Linked DNA regions of Drosophila melanogaster. The protein of the gene in region 1 interacts with the protein of each later gene in a pairwise test. Each region holds a gene or a part of one and is shown on either strand. Other genes may lie near its edges. The genes, in order: Rab14 and Evi5.

Evidence for each region.
Region 2: the proteins of Rab14 (region 1) and Evi5 interact in a two-hybrid assay, tested with the Drosophila melanogaster proteins (one study listed by BioGRID).

Annotation. Positions count from the first base shown.
Region 1 is NT_033779.5:14,347,057-14,359,623, reverse strand, and holds Rab14 (Rab14), read right to left. Parts: upstream 2,584-12,567; 5' UTR 2,417-2,583; coding exon 2,353-2,416; intron 2,344-2,352; exon of another isoform or gene 2,284-2,343; coding exon 2,170-2,283; intron 2,105-2,169; coding exon 1,924-2,104; intron 1,870-1,923; coding exon 1,687-1,869; intron 1,619-1,686; coding exon 1,441-1,618; 3' UTR 860-1,440; downstream 1-859. Other genes in the region: Pgant35A (polypeptide N-acetylgalactosaminyltransferase 35A), read right to left, coding at 1-244; l(2)34Fd (lethal (2) 34Fd), read left to right, coding at 4,627-4,692, 4,751-5,152, 5,206-5,927, 5,988-6,963; CG43052 (uncharacterized protein), read right to left, coding at 7,021-7,226, 7,279-7,468; l(2)34Fc (lethal (2) 34Fc), read left to right, coding at 9,844-9,915, 9,985-10,392; mTTF (mitochondrial transcription termination factor), read left to right, coding at 10,918-11,326, 11,391-11,971, 12,027-12,269.
Region 2 is NC_004354.4:11,446,640-11,459,889, reverse strand, and holds the start of Evi5 (ecotropic viral integration site 5), read left to right. Parts: upstream 1-5,551; 5' UTR 5,552-6,094; intron 6,095-13,250. Other genes in the region: CG43155 (uncharacterized protein), read right to left, coding at 1-8; HP5 (heterochromatin protein 5), read right to left, coding at 1,578-1,660, 2,126-3,235, 3,403-4,608, 4,699-4,813. UniProt on the Drosophila melanogaster protein: Functions as a GTPase-activating protein (GAP). During border cell migration in the ovary, acts as a GAP for Rab11 and is necessary for the maintenance of active receptor tyrosine kinases at the leading edge.

The DNA.
Region 1 (12,567 bases):
TGGGTGCCGCCGGCGATTCGCCAGTGGTAATGCTGGCATTTGGAGTGCATCCGACGGTGACCCTGGCCTGGTAGCTCAGCTCGGCCCGTGGCGTTGCGTTCCCTTCGTCGATCCTCCATCCTGCCGAGCGGATGGAGCTGCGCAGGCTGTGCGAGTAGAAAAGCAGCGCCAGCAGCCAGACGACCGCCACCAGAAGGGTGCCCAGGCCGCAGGATTTGCACAGGAGGCGCTTGATTTGCATCATGGATCGAGATTAGATTACGTTGTGCGCTTCCCTGGCTACTTAAGCAGCTACTTTGTCACTTTCATGATGATCGGAATAAATTAAATTTAATTTGCATACCATGGCATTCGCACAAAAGCGCGCACACAGCGATGCCACCGAAGATGCTAGCTCAGAGTTTTTCCCGCTAAATTTCAAGGAAATCGAAAATAGTGTAGAATAGTGTAGTGTAGAAAACAAAAATTGGACTGATAACCAGTTAAAATGATTAATTAGACAACCAGCAACAAACAAAAGAACAGTATACGAAAAATCGTTGTTTGACTTACAAACTTTATTGTTCATAGTCATAATCAGCTGATTTCCAACCCAACGTTAGCATCACTAAATAAAACAAGAATGAAGTTATGCGCAAGTCAAAGTTGAGGGTATTCCACTAAATGGATTAAAAAAGCTTTTTACAAAATATTTAAGTAAATCGTAAGTACCCAAATATTTATAAAATTTAAATCTATTAAATGGAAATCCGGTAAATTATAAAATTATCCAGCGATTTGGTGTAGAATTAAATATAAACGAATGGTTAAATATGCAAATTAAAATTTAAATTATTTGAAAGAGAAATTCATTTCTATTGGTAGGGGTTTTATAAATACCATTTTATTTATTTCCTATTGCATTATGCCATTAATACATCGTAAATATTCATATAACATTGATCGTTTCCTCCAATTCTTGCACGCGACAACAACAAATACTCAACAAAAAATTAGGGAGATACAAAAATTCATACATATATATATTATATACAGGGATTCATCAGCCAACAAAAACATGATCTATATCTCAAACGAATTCATCTATAAATTGAGACCGAAGGATGGTGTTAGTGCGATAAACTTTTCGAAATTTCATGGTCAAAACTTTAGTTTGCGCCAACAAACATGTTTAATTTTCTAGTATTTATGCTTAACCGATACAATAAATGTTGCAATGCTTGCGTCTTATTAAGCGAAAGGACTTTATATTTTCTTTTTCTGTTTTTTTTTTTTTTTGTGGTTGCTGTCGCTGTTGTTGGCTCACACATTGATGCTTAATCGAATTATTTAACTACATACATTGGTTTTTGCTTGGGCATCGGTAGATTACGAGTCGGCTAAAAATAAAAGTTGATTTGTATAACTAGGTTTTGCGTAAAGTTAGGTTCCATCATTCATTTAGCACGAGCACTGATCCTTGGCGCCCGTAGCCTCGCTACTCAGCGAAGTTCGCGACGGCTGCGATGGCCTGTGCTGAACTCCGGACTCGGAGGCGTTCAGATCGAGCCGACCCTCCTGGATGTTCTGGTAAATCTTGCGTGCGGTCTCCAGAAAAGCCTCCTCCACATTCTGGCCACTGTTTGGGCGATAAAAAAAAAGATAATCAGTATATGCTCAAACACTATGCTTCCAGTTGAAACTCACGTCATAGCGCTCGCTTCGAGAAACATTAGGCCGTTCTCGTCGGCAAACTCCTTGGCCTCCTCGTAGGTAACCTCCCGAGTGCTCTCCAGATCCGATTTGTTGCCAATGAGAAAGATCACAGTGCTGGGATTGGTGAGATTGCGAGTGTCGGTAAGCCAGCTGCTCAGGTGATTGTACGTGGAGCTGGAATGGTCAAGTTGTAAAGCAATTTCTCAAATAGTAGCTTGCTTCGCTTACCGCCTGGTAATATCGTAGACCATCAGCGCACCAGCTGCTCCACGGTAATAGGAGCGTGTCACTGCCCTGAATCGCTCCTGACCCGCTGTGTCCCAGATCTGTAGCTTGATCTTTTTGTCGTCCACCTCAATGATGCGTGTGCCGAACTCCACGCCAATGGTGTGAGGACAATTGGCCATGACTGCAGGACGGCAAGTAGAGATTAGTTCTTATTACATACATTATTACTCAGCACAGTCTACTCACATTTCTTCTCGGTGAACTGGTGGAGCAGGCAGGACTTGCCCACGCCCATGTCACCAATGATGATGTATTTAAAGATATAGTTGTAGTTGTATGGCGCTGCAGTCATGTTGGGACCTAAAAAGCAAGCGAAATTATTATTATTATTACATTGCAGAGTCATTGAGTATATAGAATATTTCACACATTTTTCAATAAAGTAGTCTATGCGTTCGTGCAGTTTGTTCACCACGCTGCGCACTTTGCTCATCTTGACACCGGCAGAAATGAACTCTGACCCAATCAAACAGTGTTAACTACTACTATCAGCTCCTCATTTGAATGTCCAACCGTAGTCGCTGCTTATCAACAAACCGAGGCGCTGCATTAATTTGTTCTGCGTCGACACCACATTTTGTTCCCCTTTCTCGAACTGGCCCCGATATTTCTTTTTAAGGCCTGCTTGTGTTTGAACAGCCGACCGGGTTTGTTTGCCTGCCAACTGAAGCCAAAAAAAAAAAAAAATAAGAAAGAGGCAAGCTTCAAGAGCGGCGGGTATATCCACTTCATGCCACTTGACTTTGTCCATTCGCAGTATCCGTGTCGTTCGAAAGCCTTTGATTTGTCCGCAGTTAAGGGGCGCTGAAGAGAGTGAATTGAACCCTTCGCCCAAGCTGAAAGCGATTTGGATCAAGGTCGCCGAGCAAGCAATCGTGGGAATTCAATTATTAAGAGCAGTACGCGCGAAGTTATTCATCAAGTTAGTTTGTATTTAGGGTAATCATCCTGCCTTACTTCATATGAATGAATTTCATACAAAAGAATGTGACTTAGCAGCATATAGTGTGAAAAGATGAGTATCAATTATGGATTCTTAATTGCTCATACTTAAATCATCAAATACAGTTATAATCGCTTATCATTGCTTGTCAAAGTGACAAGTGCATATCAGTTTAATAGGCTCTATGACGGGCAGTTTAGACTAACTAAGTAGTAGGTCTCGGTCTCGAGTCTTATCAGTCAAGCGCCAAAGGCCAAACATCAGTGGAGCAATCAATGGAGGCGAAGTACATATGTACTTATTTGCAAAATGTGTTGAATGGAAGTGGATCATCATTGCCCCTCATAAAAGGAACACAGCGGCGCACCCATAACAGGGAAAATAACGAAAGGAGTATGAGAAATATATATTTATACACAGACGAAGTATGTATACCCTTTGGCAAAAAATCTTAAATATAAATATACTTTTATAAATGTGCGCTTTATATTCCATTTCTAAGATATAACTGAATACGATTTGATATTTGAGTATCTACAAATAAGCGCACATCCATTCAAACTAATAAAATAAGCCCGCATTGAAGACAACAACGCAATAAGACACAACAAAATGAAAAAGAAATATATTAATAACTGATAACAACTACTAAGAAAACTTCTGATTTATTATAATTTTTTATTCATGCTCGCCTACATTTTGAAAAAACCTTGTTTGCATAATTCATATAATAAATTAATATATAAGCACAGGTAAATATTTCTATGATAACTCATACACTCATATAATAATCCATCTTATAAAAACTAATTTAGAGTATTTATTTATAGCGTATACTAAACAAACTCCTCACCTACCGATTTTTAAGTAGAGTGGCGGCCGTTTTTGCCCCACCATCCCCTAAAAATTCAAAAAATAAATTATACACCATAAAAACCTGAAACATCCCCAGAATTAATCGATTTTTGTAAATCATATTTATTTTCTTAACTTGGTCACAAAACAGTAACTCCCCATTGCAGGGTATCAAAGCAATCAGGGGGTGTATACAACAACAATGGAGTGCTGCTGCCTAACGACAAAAACAAGAGAGAGCGAGAGCACAAGGGAAAGTTGCGGAGCACCCACAGCTGCACTGCGTCACCCCTTCGCAGACGGTTTTCCATTTCGCATAATTTAATCAGTGTTTAATTGGCTTAAGGAAAAACAACGAATATTACTCACCGTTTTAGATCACTTTAGTTTTAGTCCACCTTAGGGAGCGAACGGAATGTGTAACGTAGGGCGGTTACGCAGAGCGGGGGGTACTGTGTGTATGTGTGCGTATTGTTGTTTGGCTGTGCGGAATTCGATTGCAATTTTTGGGCAATTTGGCGATGCAAAATGCAGTTCACTTTCGTGCTAGCACGCACACTGGCTTCGCGGGGTTGCGGGGCTGCACCGAGAGGCAATTATTGCGATTATTTTCAATTGGTAGGTCGATGCAAATCAGTAGTCTTTTTTCACTGCTTTTGCGTTCTCTTGTTTTGCTTGGTTTCCTGCGGTCACACTGAGCAATTGGCAAGCCAAGGGTCACACTGCCGCGATAGGTGCTTATCGCAGCCAGATGCTATCGACAATCGTGTCTATCGATAGAGGGCGCACGTGTTGCGGACTTCGTTTGTTTATGTTTTAATTTTGAGCAAAAATCGTCCCTCAAGATGTTCGTAAACGAAGTTAACGATGTGAAGATCTACAACCTGAGCGCCGGCAAGTCGGTGCCAGATGTGAGTAGCAAGATAAACCCGTTGCCAAGCAGTTAACTCATGAGTATCTCCTTCACAGTGGCTGACGGATCGGCGAAAGCGGTCACAGCTCATGAAAAAAGTGGACTCCCGGAGACAGATCGAGCTCATCCAGGACTTCGATATGCCCGGCGTCTGCACCAGCATCCGCATGAGTCCCGACCAACAGTACATCCTGGCCACCGGCACTTACAAGCCGCGCGTCAAGTGCTTCGAGGTGTCCAACCTGTCTATCAAATTCGAGCGCTGCTTCGACGCCGAGGTGACCACCTTTGAGGTGATTAGCGACGACTACAGCAAGATGGTGTTCCTGCAATGCGATCGCTATGTGGAGATCCATGCGGCCCACGGGCGGCACTACAGACTAAGGATACCGCGCTTTGGACGCGACATGAAGTACCACAAGCCCAGCTGCGACATGTTCATCGTGGGAGTGGGCAGGGTAAGAACTGAGGTCTATCTAATGTCTAGTTTATTCTAAAGATTTGATTTCAGGACATTTTCCGACTCAATTTGGAGCGCGGTCAGTTCCTGCAACCCTTTGAAACGGATGGCAGCTGCCTGAACGCCTGTGAAGTGAATCCAGAGCACCATCTTCTGGTAGCCGGTACCAAAGAAGGCACCGTAGAAGCCTGGGATCCACGTACCAAGCAACGATGTTCAACTTTGGATGTAGCCATGAAGTTGCCGGGCGTCAAGGAGTTTCCATCGGTCACGGCCCTCAAATTCCGGAACGGCTTGCACATGGGAGTGGGAACTGCTTCGGGACACGTGCTGATCTACGACATTCGCGCCAAGCAACCGTTGCTGGTGAAGAATCATCTGAATCGACTGCCCATCAAGCGTCTGGCCTTTAATCCGGCTCAGAATGCCGTCTATAGTTTGGACGAGGCTACACTGAAGCTGTGGGACGAGCAGACAGGCAAGCAGATCGCCTACGTTGAGTCGACTTCGTCATTCAACGATTTTTGCACCATTCCCGACACGGGCATGTTCTTCGTAGCCCAGGAGGATGTTAAGATGATGACCTATTATGTGCCTGCAATGGGTCCAGCACCCCGATGGTGCTCGTTCTTGGATAACCTCACCGAGGAGATCGAATCGGAGGTCGTGGAGAATGTGTACGATGACTATCAGTTCGTCACAGCGAAGGAGCTGGCTGAATTGGGAATGGAGCATCTCGTTGGCAGCAATCTTCTTAAGGGTTATATGCACGGGTAAGTTTGAAAAAGATTGGAAGAGGTAAAGATCTTGTCTAATACCTAAAAATTCTACAGATACTTTATGGACGCAAGATTGTACAACAAAGCCAAGGCAGTTGTGGAACCCTTCGCCTTCGACCGCTTCCGCAAAGATAAGATCCGCCAAGAAATCGAAAGTGAGCGCAAGTCCCGCCTGCAAATCGAATCCAAGCTGCCCAAAGTCAACAAAGAGTTGGCTCTCAAGATTATGGACGAGCAAGCCAATCCTTCCAACAGTGCCAAGCAGCGAAATGTGCCCAGCCTGCTGGAGGACTCGCGTTTCAAGGCCATGTTTGAGAATGCCGACTTTGAAGTTAACAAGTCTGCCGAGGAGTATCGTCTGCTGGCTCCTGTTCTGAACCGTCTGGATAAATCCAAGGCCAAGGAACTCAAGAAGCGCGTGGAGGTGGCTCATGTGGCGGAGTTGCACGCGGACGAGGCACAGCAGCGCGAGGAAAGCGATAATGACGAGGACCTATTTGGCTTCGAGAAGAGCGATGGCGAAACGAAGGATGACAGCGGAGATGAGGCCTCATCTGACGATGATGACCGAAGGGAGTATGTCAAGGAAATGAAGCAGGCGTACAAACAGGTGAAGCGACAACGTGAGGAAGAGGAGGAGCTAGAAGATGACGAGCAGCAGCCGGATGAAATTTCGGATACCGCAAAAAGACCGCAGACGAATGGACACAGCCAACAACCCACCACCAATGGCAACCGTTTCACCATGACCCCCTTGGATCAACATCAAGGCAGCAGTCTACTGCAGCAGCGCATCAAAAAAGCGAGCTTGCAGGATCGCGTAAGGGTCATGTCCCAGCTGGAGGGCCAGGTCACCAATGTGGGTCGCTCCCTGGGCAATCGTCAGATGACATTCGAAGTGAACAAGCAGAAGAAGTCACAGTTCCATGCCAAGAAGCGCGAGGCGGAGATGAAAAAGCATCGCGAGGAGCGAAGGAGCATTGTCAGACCCATTAAGTCGCTGAGACTAAAGAAAGTTAATTTTAAGTAGACGAACAATTGCAATTAGTTCTGTACATAAATTCATATGTTAAATTAATCTACATATTTATTTTAACAATGGTAGCGTATATGTCTGATCGGTTTCCTCAATAGGCATATTGTATTGATCTATCGGCTCAAATTCGGCTATCTGTATGGGCTCTATTTCCACATCCAAACTTGGTGTCGAGACTTCACTGTCATTACTGAGCACCGATATGGTGTCGCTTTCCCCGCTATTACATTCGTCCTTGATCGATTGGGTTTCATCAGCTTCAAGAGTACACATTTTAAGGACAATTGGTATAAAGGTATCGGATATTACCATTATTAGCCCCAGCCACATTCACTTTATCCACCAAGTGGAGCAGCGCTTCTGTCACGGGACCCGTCACAGGCTGGGGCATCCTATCAAAGTACAATTGAAAGAACAACTTTGAGTTATCCATTTCCAGGCGATCCTCATGGATGCCCGTCTGAGTGCAGGCCAACAATGCCGATTGCTCTGCTCCCATATTTTTGACTCAAATACTGAAGTGTCCCGAATTACAATGACATTTGGATTTGACAACCACAGATTGGTGAATTTTAAAAGTGTTCCCATTTGGAAAAAAGTGTAACGACACTTGATGTGGTTGTATGTTATGTTATAGGGGATACTTAAAAGTAGTAGCTTTATAATATTAAAAGTAAAGAGCATTTCAAAGTGCAGTCAGCAAATATGAAAACAATTTAAATTTAGGATAGTTTTTGAAATCTAAAGAAGAAACCCAAAAAGAATATTGAACCTGAACTATATTTAATTGACTAAACGACCGGAAACGATTTTAAACCAATTCAGATAGTTGACCTATAAGCCAAATGCTTTCCATTCAACAGCGAATTCTGATTTGCAAGTTTCTCCTTCTAATCAATACGCATTGCTAATTGGCGTGCCATTTGATTTGTGGATCTAAGTAAACACTTAGTCACTGTTTATGTCGCTTCACAAATGAAGCGTTAAAAATTCAATTTGCAAGCTCAGCTTTCGGAGCTTTCGAATTTGGCCAACTTGCTGGTATGGCAGTATAAGCTCGGCTTACAAAGTTGTCTTTGCAAAAGCTACTTCACTACTTTTGATCAGTTTTTTGGTATAAATAGGAAGTTGTTTTAGAATTTTCAGCTCATTTCAAGTTTTTCTTTTCTGCCGCTTGTGTGTGTGTATTTCTGATCGGTAGGTTTAAATGATTAAGCAATTAGTTTACTTGGCCTAAACGATTTTCAAAGTTCAGTTGATTTTTTGTGAAACAGTTGTAAAGGTTTAAAAACTTAAAGGATTTGTACTCTTCCTTTTTTTCGGGTTTTAAAGTGACTAAGCTTAATTTAGAATACATATTCTAATATGATCATTAAAAAAAAAACCTTTTCGGAAATGACATAGATAGTTTCGGTATGAATGCGAATTTCAAGCTTCAGCAGTTCTGTCCCACCAACTTGATAATAATAATATTTTCCAAGCCATTATAAATGTTGGCTAATTGAGGCCTATGGCCATAGCTCAGCGTAATGACATTAAACAACCATGTATTGAGATTTTATCTAAACAAATCGCCCAACCGGTTGGACAAAGGCCCATAAATACATAAATATACGGCTAAAAGTCGCAGAGGGAAAGAAATAAAGAAGCAAAACTTGGCTCCGACACTAACATGTCCAATATTGAACTTTAGCATATTGCAAGACAAATGGAAACTTGGCTTACGGGCCGGTCTTGACAAGGTCTTTTCGAATCCATGGCGACCCAAGTGGAGGAGGCCGACGATCAATCAGATCGGTACTTCGAACTCCACAAGCCTCCAATCCACCTTGAACCTGAGAATTCGATTTGAGGAAGTACTTAGGCTGTTGTCTTCAATTGTCACTTGTCATTTCTAGGCGATTTTTATCGCACGGTAAAAAAAAGAGTTACTCTTCTATGGAAATGTACTGCAAACTGGTTTGGCTTTAAACAGTTTTCGTTTACGTCCGAAAAACCAGTTTGATGATTTTTTAAAAATTGGTTTAATCAACATGCATCTTGGCCAATTTCAATATTGAACAAAGCTTTTGTCTGCGCCTTCTTAATTCTGCGAATCTGAAGATTTACGAGCCGATCGTGATTGAAATGTTAAGTTCACTTCGAGTGGTTTCCCGTAAATAATTAAAATGTTTTGATTGACATTTTTTTTCGGCACTAATACTGGTTATTACAAATCAGACAGTAACACTGCAGCCTAATCCACAAATCTTGTAGAATCACAGACTGTCAACAGTCAAGGCTGCAGAGAAATATACCCATTATGGCGACAACTGGGACCGAACAAACTGCATAATAAACGTTGGCGTTGACAAACTGCATAATTGGAGCTAGTTTTCAATATATTTGCGCCTGCCCACGTATACAAGTGTAAACTTTGAAAAGGAAAAAAAAAAAACTAAATAAATAAAAAACTTAAGCAAAGTCAAACTGGCCAAGGCCAGTGAAAAAAGTCTCACTTGAGTGGAAATGTTAATTAATTAATTTATGAAAAACTAGTTAACGCAATTAAGCAGCATGCACGAATCTAAAAATGTTAAACAATGACCGGCAGTAAATATATTTTAATATGTAATTGGATTCAACTTGAAAGCACTAGAAGTTGAAAGTAGAAACATTGACAAGTACTTGTGTCATTAAAACTTGTTCTGCTTAAGCATATTCGGTTATGGAAAATGGAAGGATTTCGCACACTCACTTGGTGCGCTTCGTCACTACGTGGACTGTTCTTCACAGTGATGTAGCATAATTAAGCCAACCAACTGGATTTTAATCGTTACTAAAGCGATGTTTCCAACTCATGTGATATTATTTTTAATTTTCCCTTAAACAGATATGTTCCGTTTGTTGGTTCTTGCGGCCTGCCTGGCCATCAGTGTCCACGCCTACTCCGATGGTGCTCCAAAGGTATGAACCTGCCCCATCGAAATACATGACGGATAGATTCCTTATATTCCCATCTTCATTATCCCAAAGGCCGCCTGTCGTGACCTGACGCCCCAGCACGGAGCCAAGCTGCAGGTGACCAAGCCGCCGTACAGCATCTCCGGACCCTCCCATGTGCGCTCGGATCAAAAGCTGACCCTGACGCTGGGCGGCGATGAGTTCCTTGGCTTCATGATCCAGGCACGCGATGGCCAGAACCGCGTCGTCGGCCAGTTCCAGGTGGTGGACTCCGTGCACTCGCAGACCTTGGACTGCTCCGGCAAGGACGACACCATCACCCATCTGAGTGCGCAAAAGGGCAAGCCGCTGACCGGCATCACCTTCGACTGGATTCCGCCAGCAGGCTACAAGGGCAACGTCAAGTTCATGGCCACCGTGGTGCAGACCGGATTCGTTTACTGGGTGGGTCGCGTCACAAAAGACATCGATGTGGAGTAGTGCTTGTGATAGATGTTTTCATGATTTGTTCAAAATCCTACAAGTCTTTGTTTAGCGTTAATGTTCCGATTAGCTTTGGAGCGTAGTATTTTTGAAAATAAAATCAAAAAGTTCGTTGATAAAATGGGAGTGATTTCAATTGTGGGACTCTCTGTCTAAGAATGCTTAGTAGATTTGAAAATAAATATTGGAAGTGTTTCACACTTATATTTAAAAAGTGTATGTGTATGTTATTGTGTATGAACCAGCACACTTCCTAAACATATTATGAAATCAATTGCACCTAGAAAAGTTATTATATTTTCCTAGAAAACAAATGCTAAATTTATTAAATTGCTGTTCCGAATAACGGTCATTATTTTCAAAACCGATAACGATAATTGTTTGAGTGTCGTATACTCCAGCTTTCAGTTGGCCCACTTGGTCAGCTGTTTATCGCCGCAACATATCAGCTGTTTTCCGCTTGTTTTATAAGTTGAAGAACTTTATTTTCTGTCTTGATTCTGTAAATTAAGCAAATTCGGGATGATTAGAAGCCTTCTGCGCAGCTTTGAGACGGCACTCAAGCTGCATGCCGGCTTAAATATGCACCCAATGCACTGCAGCAGGCGCCTACTCTTCTCGCAGTACGAAAACCGCGCCAGTCCGAGCAGACTGACCTCCAGTGGCACTTTAGGTAGCAACGAGGCGGAAAACGATTATGTGCCTTATCGCCAGGATCGGGAGACTGGAACCAAGACGCGGGTGCTCCTCGAAGCTCTGCGGGAACGTTTTCGCTTCACGGACGCTGAGCTCCAAAAGATAATCAGCGACGAGCTGGTGCACCGCTGCTACCGCGGTAGATCACTGACTCTGGTCATGGACACACTGCAGCTAGAGGGCGTTAGCAGGCGCAGCTTCGTGGAGTATCCTTGGCTACTGTCGCTGGACAATAGTAAGCTCATTTGCTTTATATCCTTTATGTGATTAAATCATCGGTTATTTGTTTATCTATTCAGAACGCTTGGAGCTAAAGATGCAGCTACTCAAGTCAATGGACTTTAAGGACATCAATCATTTTGTGCCTTTCCTGCGCCTCACTGTTCCACGTCTTCGAAAACTGGTGGGTGCTCTGAACTCTGAGAGGGATGCAATGCCACAGCGAAATCGTGTCTACTATATCAGCGAAAAGCTGGATGTCAGCCCCGATATTGTGAGCAAATATCTATCGAAGAGGCTGTTTATCCTGGAAATGCCGTTCGAGATGTTCGAAAAGAACCTGCAGCACATGATCGACTACAATGTGTCGCCAATAAACGTACTCAAGGATCTATGGGCCTTTCGCTATACTCCAAAGTCTGTTCAGTTGCGTTTGGAGCGCGCCAAGCGGGCGAAAAAGGACAAGATCATGCCGTGGATGGTGCGCTGCCCGGAGCCAATACTGCAGCGCTCCCTGAAGCTTTCTCTCGACGAACTGAAGGTTTTGGGAGAGTTCTCCTCCGTGGTGGAATACTTAGCGCATCGTCTTGGTTTCAGCACCAGTGAAGCCAAGGCAATCATGGACAAACATCCGCAGGTGCACACCGTGCGAGTTACCAAGGTAAGTCACAATGGGTTAACTCAAACAATCATAAGCTATACAATTTTGCCTTCAGATCAAAGAGGTGCTAGACTACCTACTCGATGAGGCCCAGTTTACCAGATTTGAGGTCGCTCAAAATCCTCGAATTCTATGCCACAGCCTGAAAACCACAAAGGAGCGCATGGAAGAACTGAAATCGCACGGTTGTCGACCCTCCTCTCTTGTAATTCTTTGCCGCAGCCGGAGGGAGTACGATAAGTTTTTGCAGAACTGGATAAGCCATGAAAGAAATCCGCAAAGTGTATCAGAAGGATGATGAACTGACGAATGACCTGATGCCATCACCGTGAAAGCTTAAAAAGTTGTTGTAAAGTTAAGATACTTTTTTCAAAAGTTTTGCCACGAAATTGAACACGATTAAAAGCCAATATTCAAAAAACGTTATTAATTACGACCAGGGGACCGCTGTTATGATGGTATCTTCATTTTTAAAGGACCCTTAACAAGTAAGGTTTCCATAATATTGTAAGGAAACCAATCAGGGAACCTTTTCGATTTCAATAGGTTTTTTAACCACCAGTCGGATTACTCGTCCTGCGGACAGAAAGTTTAGT
Region 2 (13,250 bases), on another chromosome or scaffold:
ATGGGCATTCTGCACTCCGTTTCTGATTGTTTTGGCCGGCCTATGCCTAAATTACTTGTGCTATCATTTAATAGTGTGTTTTTTTCTTTCTTTTGTTTATATCTATTTAATTTCTTTCTTTATTTTCTTTTTGGTTTTCAGGGGCCCGGCCCGCTTTGGTCCTGTGAGTTCAACATTTCGGGGGCACGTCTCACGCAAAGGGGCAACTTTTGAAATAGTTCGCACTCGCGCCAAACGATCTGGAATTTTGACGCGGCCCCAGAATCCCGAGGAGAACCAACCGTCAACAAGTCAAAGTTGCGACTGTTTTGCTTTTGGCGCTGCATTGGATACGCGGGGCTCTGCATGAAAGGTGGCCACCTTTGGGGGCAAGCGTGTGGCAACATGTGGCAACGTTGGCCGCGAAACTGAACGAACGTAAAATCGTTGCATAAATTCGAAATAATACTTATTATAATAAGAATATATAAGAACGGAAACGCTGAGCGATGGTTGCTTGTGTATAGAAACATTTTATTATATTAATTATATAATAGAACATTAATAAAAACGAGCTTAAGTTATCCTGTGATTGATAAATATATCAGAAAGTTAAGTGTGTGTTGTTCATAAAGCAAGATAACATCTTTCCATTTATCTATTCAAATTAGTCACAAAAAAATCTCTTTCTAGCACATTAAATTTATTCAATCTGTATAAATTAACTGTAGAATATTCTGTGAAAAAAAAAACATGTTAGGTAATAAAAATAACATCATTTTTACATAGCTTAAAATAAACGGTACAAGACTTTTCACAATATGGCAACGTCAATGTTCGAATGTGGCAACATCTTCAAATGGCGGCAAATTTCGAAAAAGTTTCTCAGCCAATCCCATTGAAAACTGGCAACATATTTTATCCATTTTTAATCTGTTTTCTTTTTACATACATACATTTTATGATGATGATGTACATTAATACATTGAACTTACAGTACATTTAAGACGATCCATACTTAAATATATATATTTATATTTATATATGTGCATGAACGCAAGTGTTTCTTAAATCTAAGTTGTCAAAAAAAAAAAGGATGAGAAACGAACAATACGTATTCTTGAAAGTCAAACTAACGTAACGCTCTGTTTAAGTAGCTTAAACATTGAAAATTGATTTTCTGATTCCGCTTAACCGTTAATAATATTAAAATATTAATTTTTACGGTCTATCGCACACATTTGCAAGTTGAGTGAGTGAGCTGTGTTAAATTTTGTCCCTGTTTTGCTGACTAATTTAGCAATCATATAAGTGCAAAATATTAACGTTTGCACCAATAGCTTTCTCTTGCAAAAATACTTTGGTATTTTCAACGTGAGTTTGCATATAAATTGAATATGTCTTTAAAAATAAACGTAAGACTACTTCTTGATCGTAGGGAGAACTAATTATAAATTCAGTTAAATGTACAAATTAATCGGTCCTTAATAAACCTACGTGTGTGCGTGTGAGTTTGTAGCTATGTCTGTGTCTGTGTGTATGCTTCGGTTTCGATCTGTATCTGTCTATCTGTACTTGGTGCGCAATTTGCCAGCTTACTACGATTCTAACGCGGTCATTATTTCGTCCAGTGTACCCCTCGAGATGGCATGGCGGCTGGAGTTCAACTGAAAGTTGGGTTCTAAAAGGCATAAGCAGAGCAAATAGTTATTAGAAGGTGCATTCAAATTAACATTTACGAAAGTATGAAATATAAGCAAGTTCAAATTGCAACTGGAAATTGTGCATTGCCTATACACTTACACTTAATTAAGATACCCAGACTTAGAGAAGACCAGAGAAAGTACAAAAAATGCCTATTAAGTAGTTGTTTTAATGACAAATGTACGCAACGGGCGAATGTTCATTAAATCAATCAATGGAATGCTTGACCAATGACCAAGTGTCACTAGAGCTTTAACGTAAGAGTTTTTGGCCTCACAAAATAGAGAAGTTTCGTGAAAAGCGAGACTACTTGGCAAGAATTAAAGTAGAAAATGACGTACTTTACTGTCTTGAAGACTTAACAGTCCCCACTTGTACTCCCTAAGTATTCATGCTATTATTTGAGATTGCCTTGCGATGGAGGCGATCGTCTGGCACTCACCGGATAGCTGGTCCATGATGACGTCATCTAGCGTGGCCATGGGATCCTCCATGGGCGAGTAGTATGTCGTTGCCGTTGATCTGGATTCGCTGGTGGGTTCACCATTCACTGTCCTGGGCGCCGAGGGCGGGGTCATAAGCTCGGCCGGCAGTTCGGGTGAATCGATGGGATCACCGATGATGGTTGCTGCTGTTTGTTGATCCTCGTCATCGTTCGGCGCTTTGCTTGCTTTCTGCTCTGTTTCCTCAATGGCTTGTCCAGCTAGCAGCTTGGCGTTATCGCTGGCGGACTTAAAGCTGCAATCGGAGTCACCGGAATCGAGGCGACTGCGCGATTTGGGCGTACTCTGGCGGGATGATGGCGTATGCAATTGACGGACATCGTCCAACGACGTCTGGATCTCCAGCACGTCATCTTCGTTATCGTCAGTTGTGGACGGGAGCTGTGGTGGGGTCGGCAAGTCACTGAACTCCTCGGCATGCTCGACCTCGTCCTCTACTTTCTCAACCCTGTCTTCGTTCGTTGGTTTTTCTAAAGATTTGACGGCGTTATCGCTGATTTCAGCTGCATTTTCCTCCAGATTTTTCTCGTCCTCGTCTAGCAAAACTTCTTCTCGAGCATCTTCCGATTTTTCCTCCGAATTGTCAGCCTCTTTTAACTCTGGCATATCTTTTACTACTTTTTTTTCCTTCGCCTCATCTGTATTTTTCTCTGTTGCATCCACAAATTGTTCTTCTCTATCTCTTTCTACTTCATTTGTCTCAGTTTCGTGTGCGTCTCCCTCTCGCTCATTCGTTTCGATTTCCTTCACTGGTGGTTTGATTTCGACATCAGGATCGGAGGATTCAATTTCCACAACTGGTGAGTTTTCCGTTTTTTTCTCCTTTTTCGTTTGCATTTTGTCAGTCGTCTCCTTTTCGTTTAGCATCTTGTCCGTCTTTTTGTTTGATCTTTCTTTTAGGGGTTTTGGCTGCTTTTTTTGTGCATCCTTCTGCTTTTTTAGTACCGGCTTTTCGTCCTCATCATCACTGATGGTCGTGGTGAAGGATATCTTCTTTTTCTTGGGCGGAGGCGTTCCAGATCTCTGGGACCCCGGCACATCGTTGGGCACTGGACGTAAAAATGGAGAGAATTGCATTAGTTTTAGCTCAATTCTTCTTTAATTTGATTTGGTCAAATCCTGTCATAAAAATAACGAAATCATTTAATACAAAATGAGACATGATTAATGCGATTACATCGAGTTTGATGTCAGTTTAATAAGTGCATCCTCCTACCTATATACTCCTCATCGTCATCATCATTATCTCCACCTCCATCAGACCTGGAGGAGCTGTTGTCTATGCTTAGGCGGCCCAACCTGCGTAACTTGAGCCTTCCGACCACAGGCGTACCGTTGCATGAGCGGCGCCTAACCCGCTCGCGCGAGCCTCCAGAAGATGACGAGAAGAGCGGCGTGGAGGTCAGTGCTATGTCCTCCAGCACATTGCCAGTGGCATCCACACGCTGCAGTCGTGTCGGTTTCGGAGCTCCTCTCGATGAAAGCGAACCGAAAGTAGACCGACGTGATGGACCCCCGGGGCTGCCCAGAATCTCGACGGCCTCGCTGAAGGATACCGCCTTCTTGGGATACACCTTCCTGACAACTCCGTCGCCAATGGGAGGCGGTTTGCAGTCAGGCCACTTGGCACTTGGTAAACGCGTCCTCCTCACCTTCACCACACAGCCAAAGAAATGCGCGCCATAACGCTTAACCAAATCCGGATCGGTGTTGCGTCCGCGACTGGATAATCTCTTCGCCTTGATCTTGGGCTTGGGACTTCGCTTCAGTGCGGAGTGTGTGCTTTCAGAACTCTTGGCCAAACTGGGCGGCGGTGTATGAGCGCGCAACGAGTGGTTCAGAGCACGCTTTTTGGCGCCATTCTGCAAAGGAACTTTGATGTGGAAATTGGTCTGCGCTGTTGATGACTTTTGTTTCTTAGGTGACGTTTTTCTCTTTTTGTGCCTGCTACGGCCACTAGTACCGCTCTGGTTAACGATCTCGGGCACATTGATAAATGATGAATTGGCCAAAGATTCGACGGCCGAATCGATTTCTGTCTGTTTCAGGCGACGTAATAGCACCCGCACCTTTCTTTTAACATTCGGCGACTGCTGATCGCTGAACATCTTTTGCTGAGCCTTCGTCTTGGTGGGAACGACCACCATCGATTGCTGGTCCTCCTCGATGGCCTCGCCGTCGTCGTCAATGGACACTTTTGGCCTCTTGTTGTGCGGCGTCGATGCAGAGACAGTGGATTTCCTGCTTTTGTTTGGTTTTGAGTTAGCCACGCTCTTACGCTTCCTCTTGGCCAATGACTCGTCGAGATGGTCGAATGATGTTTCCGAATCAAACAGATCAATGCTGCACTGTTCGACATTCTTTGATTTTCTCGACATGCGCAAGTCATTCTCGTCCAATTGGTTTCCACTCTCCAGGAGGTCTGACAGAAAATGGAAAAAACGATTGGAGGTTATTAAACTTCTAGGATTGCCAGCCAATTTGCAGGCAAACAAAATTATGCTCAATTTACCATTTACGTCGATTGGCGAATCGGGCGGTATGGGCGACGGAGTGGAGAGCTTGGTGTCCACCGGATTAATAGTTTGCGGCGGCGGCGCCGCTTTGACCATATCAAAAATATCCATTATCGCAGGTTTCAGCCCTTTGCGATTTTCCCACGAAAATGAAAATTAGCAAAGAGCGCAGATTTACCGCTTTAAAATATACGGTTAATATGCGCTTACAGATGTGTGTTTTGCGCAATTAGTGAGGCCACTGTACCACGGACTAATTGTGGCGCGAGGAGCACTCGATTTGCCCACTTAATCAGCAGATGCGACTTTTAAAATCGCGTTTGCATTCAGGTAACTTTCCTGATTAATTTTACACACTCCTAAAGACGCCATCTAGCTGGTGTGCCCGTGCGCAGATACCGCGAAAATATTTCACCGCCTCGGCGCATTTTTATGGGTTATTTATGTCGCCAACAATCATTAACCACAAAATGTATTTTAAATTTATCAACAAATAGCCTATTTCCTATCATTAAACGACAAAGATCTTATGGACACTTTTCATCAATGGAATGCTGAACAACAACTTATTACTCTGAGCAACATAACTCCATTAAGATTCATACTTATCTCATATGGTTGAATGTTTCAAAATCATTTACAAACATGTAATAACAGCACTTGCAGCCCACTGTACAGGTTTGAGTCTGTGCTAAACAGCTATCATTGGTATTTTTGGTATTATTCAAATAATCGATAATGCAGTAGAAACTTTTCTATCGGTTATCAGCTATCTGCGCTTCAGAGAATTTTAGTATATGGTAATACTTATTTAGCGGCTTACTTCAGCTTTTGCGCGACGGTCACACCGCCAGTGGGCGAAAAAAAACATTCGTGAATTCACCGTCGTCGAACGAACGCTGTATTTTTTTCCAGTGCAATATTCGGTCGATGTATAACGAGTGATTGAATTAAAGTAGTCCTTTTAAAAAAAGTACTAGTATTTAAATAAAAATAAAGTCATACAGAACAGCATAGGGAGAGAGGGCGAGAGAAAAAATTGCTGCTGCTGAGGTGTGTGCAATTGCCTGTGCGTGTGTGTGTGTGTGTGTTTGTGTGACGTTTACAGCAGCAAAAAGTTCGGTAGTGTCGTCAAAATAATCGTGTATTATAAAGTTAATGCAAACGATTCTCGATCGGATACGAGTTGATCGCGACATATTGAGTTCGTCGAATGTGGAAAAGTCTAGCTGATTGAAAACGAAACGCGGATAAAAAAAAAACGATAAACAACGGCAATTTGTTGCTGCCGCAACAGCAACAACAACAGCAGCAGCGCACTAACGCAACCACCACCACCCCCTGTTCCAGCCTAACGGTTCATTTACAGTGGCCGAAGAAGCAGCAGCAAAGGTGAGGTTCCAGCATCTTTATTTATATTTTATGTGTCGTTCTTCTTCATCATCTTTACTTCTTCCGTAAAAAAACTCAATGTGTGTGTGTAAACATTATCAACGAAAAAAGTGGAGTGGGAAAAAATACAGAAACTTTCTTTCGCTGTCTGTGTGGGTTTATGCTCGCGTGTGTGTGTCTGTTGCTACCTTTTTTTTTTTACAAATTAGCGAAGCAGCAAAAGAAAATCGGGTACAACTAATTTTGTATGCTTAAATTTCGCGCATTAATGTAATTAAAAGCGTCCATTGTCCATTGTTCATCGCTCATTGTCCATCATCATTCATCATCGTTCATCATCGTTCTTTGCAGCTTCGCTGAGCAACAACAACAACAATGACAACAGGGCAGCCCTGCTCTTACTTCCTTTTCCATTTCCATTCCTATTGCCATTCCCATTGCTCATTTCCCATTGCCCGCTTCCCTTTCCCAATTCCTCTTTCCCAATTCGCTTTGCTCTTCCACTCCCACCGCATCAGCTGCTCCTGCCACTAGTTGTTGTTGTTGTTCCTGCTCTGTTGTAACCTTGTCTTGCTCTCCTTTCCTTTGCTTTCCACCCACTTTTCGTGGGCCCAACGCACAGTGGGAAAATTCAGCAATCGAGGGAGGGAAAAACTATTTGCCAGTTATAAAATGGAAATGGAAATCGAAGAATAATGACTCTACGTCCACTCTTCTGTAAACCATTAATTACGACCAATGGCTTAGTAATATTTAAAAATAACATCTAATCTTGTTCTCCAATTTTCACTGTGCATCTCTCCATCTCGCTCTAGCCCGCTCTGCGCCTGCGCATTGCCAACTCGGCGACACCTTGCAAGCAGCGTTGCCACCTTGCACATGGCCTACGTAGACGCAACGAACAGTGGGGGTGAAAAAACTAGCATTAAAAATAGTAAATTGCTAGCTTATTAAGCTTCATTGTTGTTTGTTTAATATGAATACAGTTAATTTAACGCTTTCATTGCATTAAAAACAAACTGGCTGCAGCGAATTTCGTCGAAACTAGCTAAAAGATTGCTGAACTCTTGTTTATCTGCCGGTCGTGATAAGCTTTGTATCCGTATGTAGATTACATATACGTGCAACTGAGGGCTTTCTGCTAAATTATATCGAGATCTTAAAGATGCCCAAAGGCAGACAAGTGCTCAGTTACTTTATACTTTACTTTGCTTTGGAAATGCAGCCATAGTCCTTTGACCTCTGCTGTACCCGACCCATCGCACTCAAGTCTTTTGTTTTTGTTTTTTTTTTTTTGTGCGTGGGGATTGTTGCGTGCTTATTCAAATTTCAGTTGTGCTATTTATTTAAATCACGAGCATTAAAACTAGTGGAGCACATAGAGCAGAAAGTCATCGTCATGTTAATTATGATCATAAATTTGCAGAGCTCGTGGGTGTGTTGGTGTATCATCCGTCATTATCTGGAGAAGGTTGGGGCAGGATAGCCTTCATTCTGCCTTCTCTGGCCAACAAAAAAAAAACATATACATATATAAAAAAAAGATAAATAACAAAAGTCAAGATACTTTTTTTGGGTTATTTCAAACGGAATTCTTTTTGCGTTTAGCGGGTTTTTCAACTATCTGCTCAAGTGTTTTCGCCATGTTTCATTATTTGCATTGTTTTATGATATTTTGGCGGTTGTTTGTTGCTGCTTATTATGTTGCCCATTTCGATCGCGCGAGCTTTCGACCTTCGCCGCAAAGCCGCAAAAAATATATGTCAAAAATAATTTGCACTTGAGTCTGTTTCCCTATCGGCGTTTATTTTGTATTTATGTATGTATACATATTTTTTAACGGATCATACCAAGCGCTTGCCAACACGTTTTCGCGCAACCAAACTAAACGCAAATTAAGTAAGCCAACTGTGAAATTACAGTGATCACTGTGCAAAAAAAGACTCCGAAATAAATGCGATTTTGTTAACATTTTAAGTGCATTTTAAATTATAAAATATATATGTAATTACTTGTTTAAGCGAATACTAACTATTGGAGTCAAGTTCATGATCGAGCTGCCACCTTTCTTTGTGGGGCTCAACGAAAAGTATCTATGTAGCGTGGCTTTACTTTATTGGCATTTCGTTACTTCCTCTGAAATTTGTTTTCGAAAAAAGTTTGACAACCTCATGCCGTCTCTTGCGATTGCGCAGCTACCTTTTGTTAGCCGTCCCTTTCTGGCGAGGCAAAAAGTGCCGTTATGTAAAATCAGAGGCAATAGCTTCCACAACATAAAACCGATATGTATGTATGTTTCGCCAAGAAATATCGAAAATAACAACAATGGGGCTGGGGCATCCAGCATCCACACAGTCGTGGCCAAGCTATTATGGCCACTTGGCCAACTGGAGGCTTACCTGATTTACCTGCCCCAAAGCATAGAAAAGCAGGTAACAACAGAAGCGGTAGTGGCGATACCGATATGTGTGCCAATCTCCAATGCAGACGTGCTGGTATTTCGGGGCACAGTGAATGCCCGATAACTGCGAAATAATTACGATACTTTATTTTTTGTAACAGCTGAACCAGAAATATTGTTTATTGTAATAATTTGTGTACTTTTCGTATTTACAATGATATTCTTCCCTTTGCTTCTGTTAGCCAATAGCCACTGTGAGTTTGGCCAAATTCCAGATTTCAAGCAATGATTTTACAGTTTGGCCAACAATGTCGGTTTGTTTGTTGTTTTCTTCAGCCAGCCAGTTTTCTTTCCTGATTTTTTTGTTTTTGTTTGCCGCTCCCTATATTTTTTTCACTCAGTCATTCAACAGCAATTGCAGACACATATCGTTTTTGCTATTTATTATTGCTGGAAACTGAAGGAGTTTCGTCTGTTTCCATTTCCATTTCCATTTCGATTTCAATTTCAATTTCAGTCTCGGTTTCGAATTCGGTTTCTTGTGGCTGTTGAAATCCAAAACGGCTCGAATATTGCGCTGAAAACACTTTTTATTGAAGCACTTGTGAATGCTACTACTGGGAACTTATTTTAGCCAATGGCAACTGAAACAACAATTGTACGAGTACACTGTAAATGGAGATGTATTATTTCGAATCGTGTTGTAACAATCCCTTTTGGAATTGAACTTGACATTTAAATTGATTGCTAATTGAAATGATTAAGTTAAAAGGTCATTGCTTTTCGTGATCATCTCATTAAGTACTGAAATGAAAAAAAAACAGCTACAATAACAAAATACTTTCTAGATTTGCCATATTACTCTGCGTTATCCCAGCTGTTTTTTTTTTCAAGTGTAACTAGTAGCATACAGCATCATGTGCTGAATGAATTATGTTAATGAGTTTGGAAGTTGGCTGGGGCTGGCCAAAAAAAACTCAGGGGAATTGTATTTCATAATTCCATTTGTCCGCTGCCTTTTCCCCTTTTTTCATATTTTCCGTTTGCTAGACTTTATTTCATCGTGCCGCCCCTTTCAATCCACTCAAATGCACTACAAAAGTTGTTGAAATAGTTCGATTTGCTAATAGTACAAAACAACTAATAAATTAACTGTAAACTATCAATATTTAAATGTATTTCACTTGCAAACTTACCATTAATTCAGTTATTATAAAAGTATATAAGGTATAAGTATAAGTATATATTATAAAAGTATCAAACTAACCCATTTTTTTGACTGCAGCTGTAAATGTCATTTGCGCGATAAAGTTTCATTGTTCTCAAATCTTGAATTGTGCTCGAGCGGAGTGCGTCTTTTGACTGATTGAAGAAATCGTCGAATTCTTATCGTCTGGGCCTCGTACACCCCCCCTGTGGCTTCTATTTCGCCCTTCCTGCTTCTGGTTTTTAATGGGTAACTACGCCCTATCAGTTCCACTGTTGCACTTGTTTTTCACTTGTTTAGAATTCGTGGCGATGGATGGAAAATTGAGTTCGAGTTGGGGCGACACTTGGGTATTATGTATATACATTGCCACATTGGCATTTCCACTAATTGTGGCAAGCAGACAGGTAAATGCATTTTGTAATTGCCACCCAGAGACAGTGAACGCTCCTTAAGTGAAACCATAGCTTTGCCTTTTAAGCTAACATTGTTTCAAAGTAAGAGAATTTTTCAAACCCATGTTTCAACTATTTGACGGTAAAAGTATGTGAATAATTTAAGCAGCTTCCATTATCGAGTGTTTACTGTGACTGACGTCACACCATTGCCAAGGGCTCGATTGGCGTGGGTGGGAGCGAGATAGCCAGCGAGTCAACAATTCAAATTGGGTTAATGAGAGTTGGCCAACTCAGGGCTTGGTTCTATATGTATCGGTGTTGTGTATCTGTATCTGTATCTGTATCCCCGTATCCGTATCTGTATCTATATGTATGTACACACAAGTGGGCGGTGGTTTGGGCGTGTGATTGCGTGGGCGTGGCACTCTTGAATTTTTGATGATTGGGCTTAAATTACATTGGGGACAGCAAGCGAAGCACAACAACTTGCTGTGATATTAGGAAACATTCTTATACGGGCCAGACGTATGATTAGGATTTGCTGCCATCCCATGGGCTTACATCCAACATATCCTTTGAGAAATTTTGTGATACTAGTTGCACTCAATTTGCTTAAAGTCGTCTAACTTGAATAAAAATCTACACTTTCATATTTCAAACCTATATGGAATGAATGAGTTTCTAAGCCAACCAAGCTATGATGTGCTAATAGGCTTATCAGCGCACTGGCTGTTTATATACATATGTGCCTTATAGCCATTGCCGCGAGTGTGCCGAGTGGTACTCTATGGCTTGGGGGCGTGACTCGTTGCATTAAAAGATGCAAATGCATATTGCAGATGCAAATGCAAATGCAAATGCGGCGTGTGTGCGTGCGCAAATTAGCAAGACAACAAATGAACTTCGCTAAATGCTATCGCCCCGGTCACCCATGTATTATTCATTAATGTCCGGCAAAAAAACAGCAACAAAATCACACACAAAAAGCCAAACAAAACAAAAACAAAGTTAAATAAAAACACGAAATAAGCAAATTGTGATTTGTTCGAAAGTGGCAAGAGTAAAAAAAAAGAGACGGACAAAAAATTAGCTAAAGCATTCACCATCAGGTTTCTGACTAATCGCCGCCCCGGTACAGTGGAGTCCATTCAAATGGGTCATACGCACGACAGGCTGTCGGCAAAAGATGTGGAGCAGATGTGACTGCGGTCGCAACAGATGTATAATTTGAGTAAACCGCGGAGATAAAATAAAATAACACTGCCATGAGGCTGGCACAAAAGTTATTATTATAATTTGCGAATATTCAATGCTCTACTTTGGAAAACAAACTTTCCAAATTGGATGTACAATCAAATCTGATACAATTTCTAAATTTCTTTTCTGAATTATTATTTCATATAAGATTTATTGATAGTTAAATATTCTTTCTAATAAATGTTTTTTGAGTCTAAACGAAATTTCCATGGGTAAAAGTAAAAGCAAGGGAATACGAAACACAATTTAAAAACAGATATTTTACAAATCGATAGTGAAAGGGTAAAGCAAAACAAGTTTTGGAAATACCTAATTTACATCCCAAATGCCATGAGTCACAAATAATCTGGCTGAAGAAAAAAAAAAAACTTACCTGCGACAAAGCGAGCGATTGGTTTGAAATACCCCGCGAATCGAATCGAATCAGAAATTGTGATGGTGTTTTTTATACTCTTTGTTTGCCTTTTCCATCTGCGGGCTGCCGACGATTCTAACGGTCGTGCATATATGTATGTATGTATAATGCATATATTTATAATGCCAAAACCATGAGTCGGCTCGGAACTAACGATTCTCATAAAAGCCAACGAAGCCAGCGACTTCAAGCCAAGAAGCTGAAGTAAAAAAAAAAGCGAAATGTGAAGAACTTTTTATGAATGAATTAGACTGGAAATAGTGCAGAAATATCTGCCAGCACACACATGCTACTTCACTCTTCACTCTTAACTCTATGTGCTGGTATATTAATATGTATTTATACGTATATATACATATATACATTTTGCCTGCACTCAAGCTTAAGGCTGTAGAAACTTGAGAGGTCTTAGAACCCACAGTGGGCGTTAATAATTAAGGGGCCCAACTCACAGACCATGCTAGAAATATATGTATGTATATGTATATATGCACAAACTATATGTTGTGTCCTCTGACGTTTAAGCTGAAAAGCTGAAACTTATGGTTTGCTTCTTCTGTCTAATTTAAGATCCATTAATTGATGTCCAGAGGCTACTTTTTGTATTGCCGCCAGCGTAATGTAAACATCTGTTAACAGACTGTGACTACAATTAGTTATCGTTATTCATTCCGCCTATACATGTGGATGTACATATGTATGTATGTACACTTGTCTGCTCGGCATTATTTTCGCTCGTTTTGTTGTTGCTGTCGCAATTATCTTTGCGTTGGATTGATAGTGGCAGTGAAATAATGTCACTGGATTGCCAATTCAGCACAAAAATATACATGCTAGTGGTACAGTGGTCTCCCGCAAAGCACACCGCTTGAATATACAGCAGATAGAATCATATATCGAAGGGTACTATTCGTAATTTACGGTTCCATTACATTTCTGTGTAAGTATATGTAGGTAAACTTGTAGGTTTCATTATGGCCATGTCGCACTGTCACAAAAATTGTACCGCCTAAAAGTATGACTAGTTTGAATGAGCGTAAATCAACACACATACCTATTGATTTTCATTGATCGGAAATCGGGTTAAATTGCTCGTGTCTCTGTGACGTCAAAGCCTTTGACTGTGTCCCACATTTAATAACAAATAACAAATCAAAAACAGTAACTAGCATGGCCTAAAAGTATACCTCAAGTTTGTTTTAGTATTTCAAACCGTTTAACGCTTGTATGTGTATGTGAATGATAAGAGCTAAACTTGTTATCAGTGTATCCGCAGTAGACTTGTCTACATAAGCGCTTTTGAGCCAAATATCAATGAAGAAACCGCTCTGAATGTGTGACACCAGTTCGAGTTCGTTTGGTCTTTGGTCTATCTTCCAGTTTATTACCATTTTCGAATGTCATTTATATCAAAGGGGGTTTATTTGCCCAACTTGTTTGAGTGCCTGTCAAAGATAATCCCACCTGATGTATGCGAT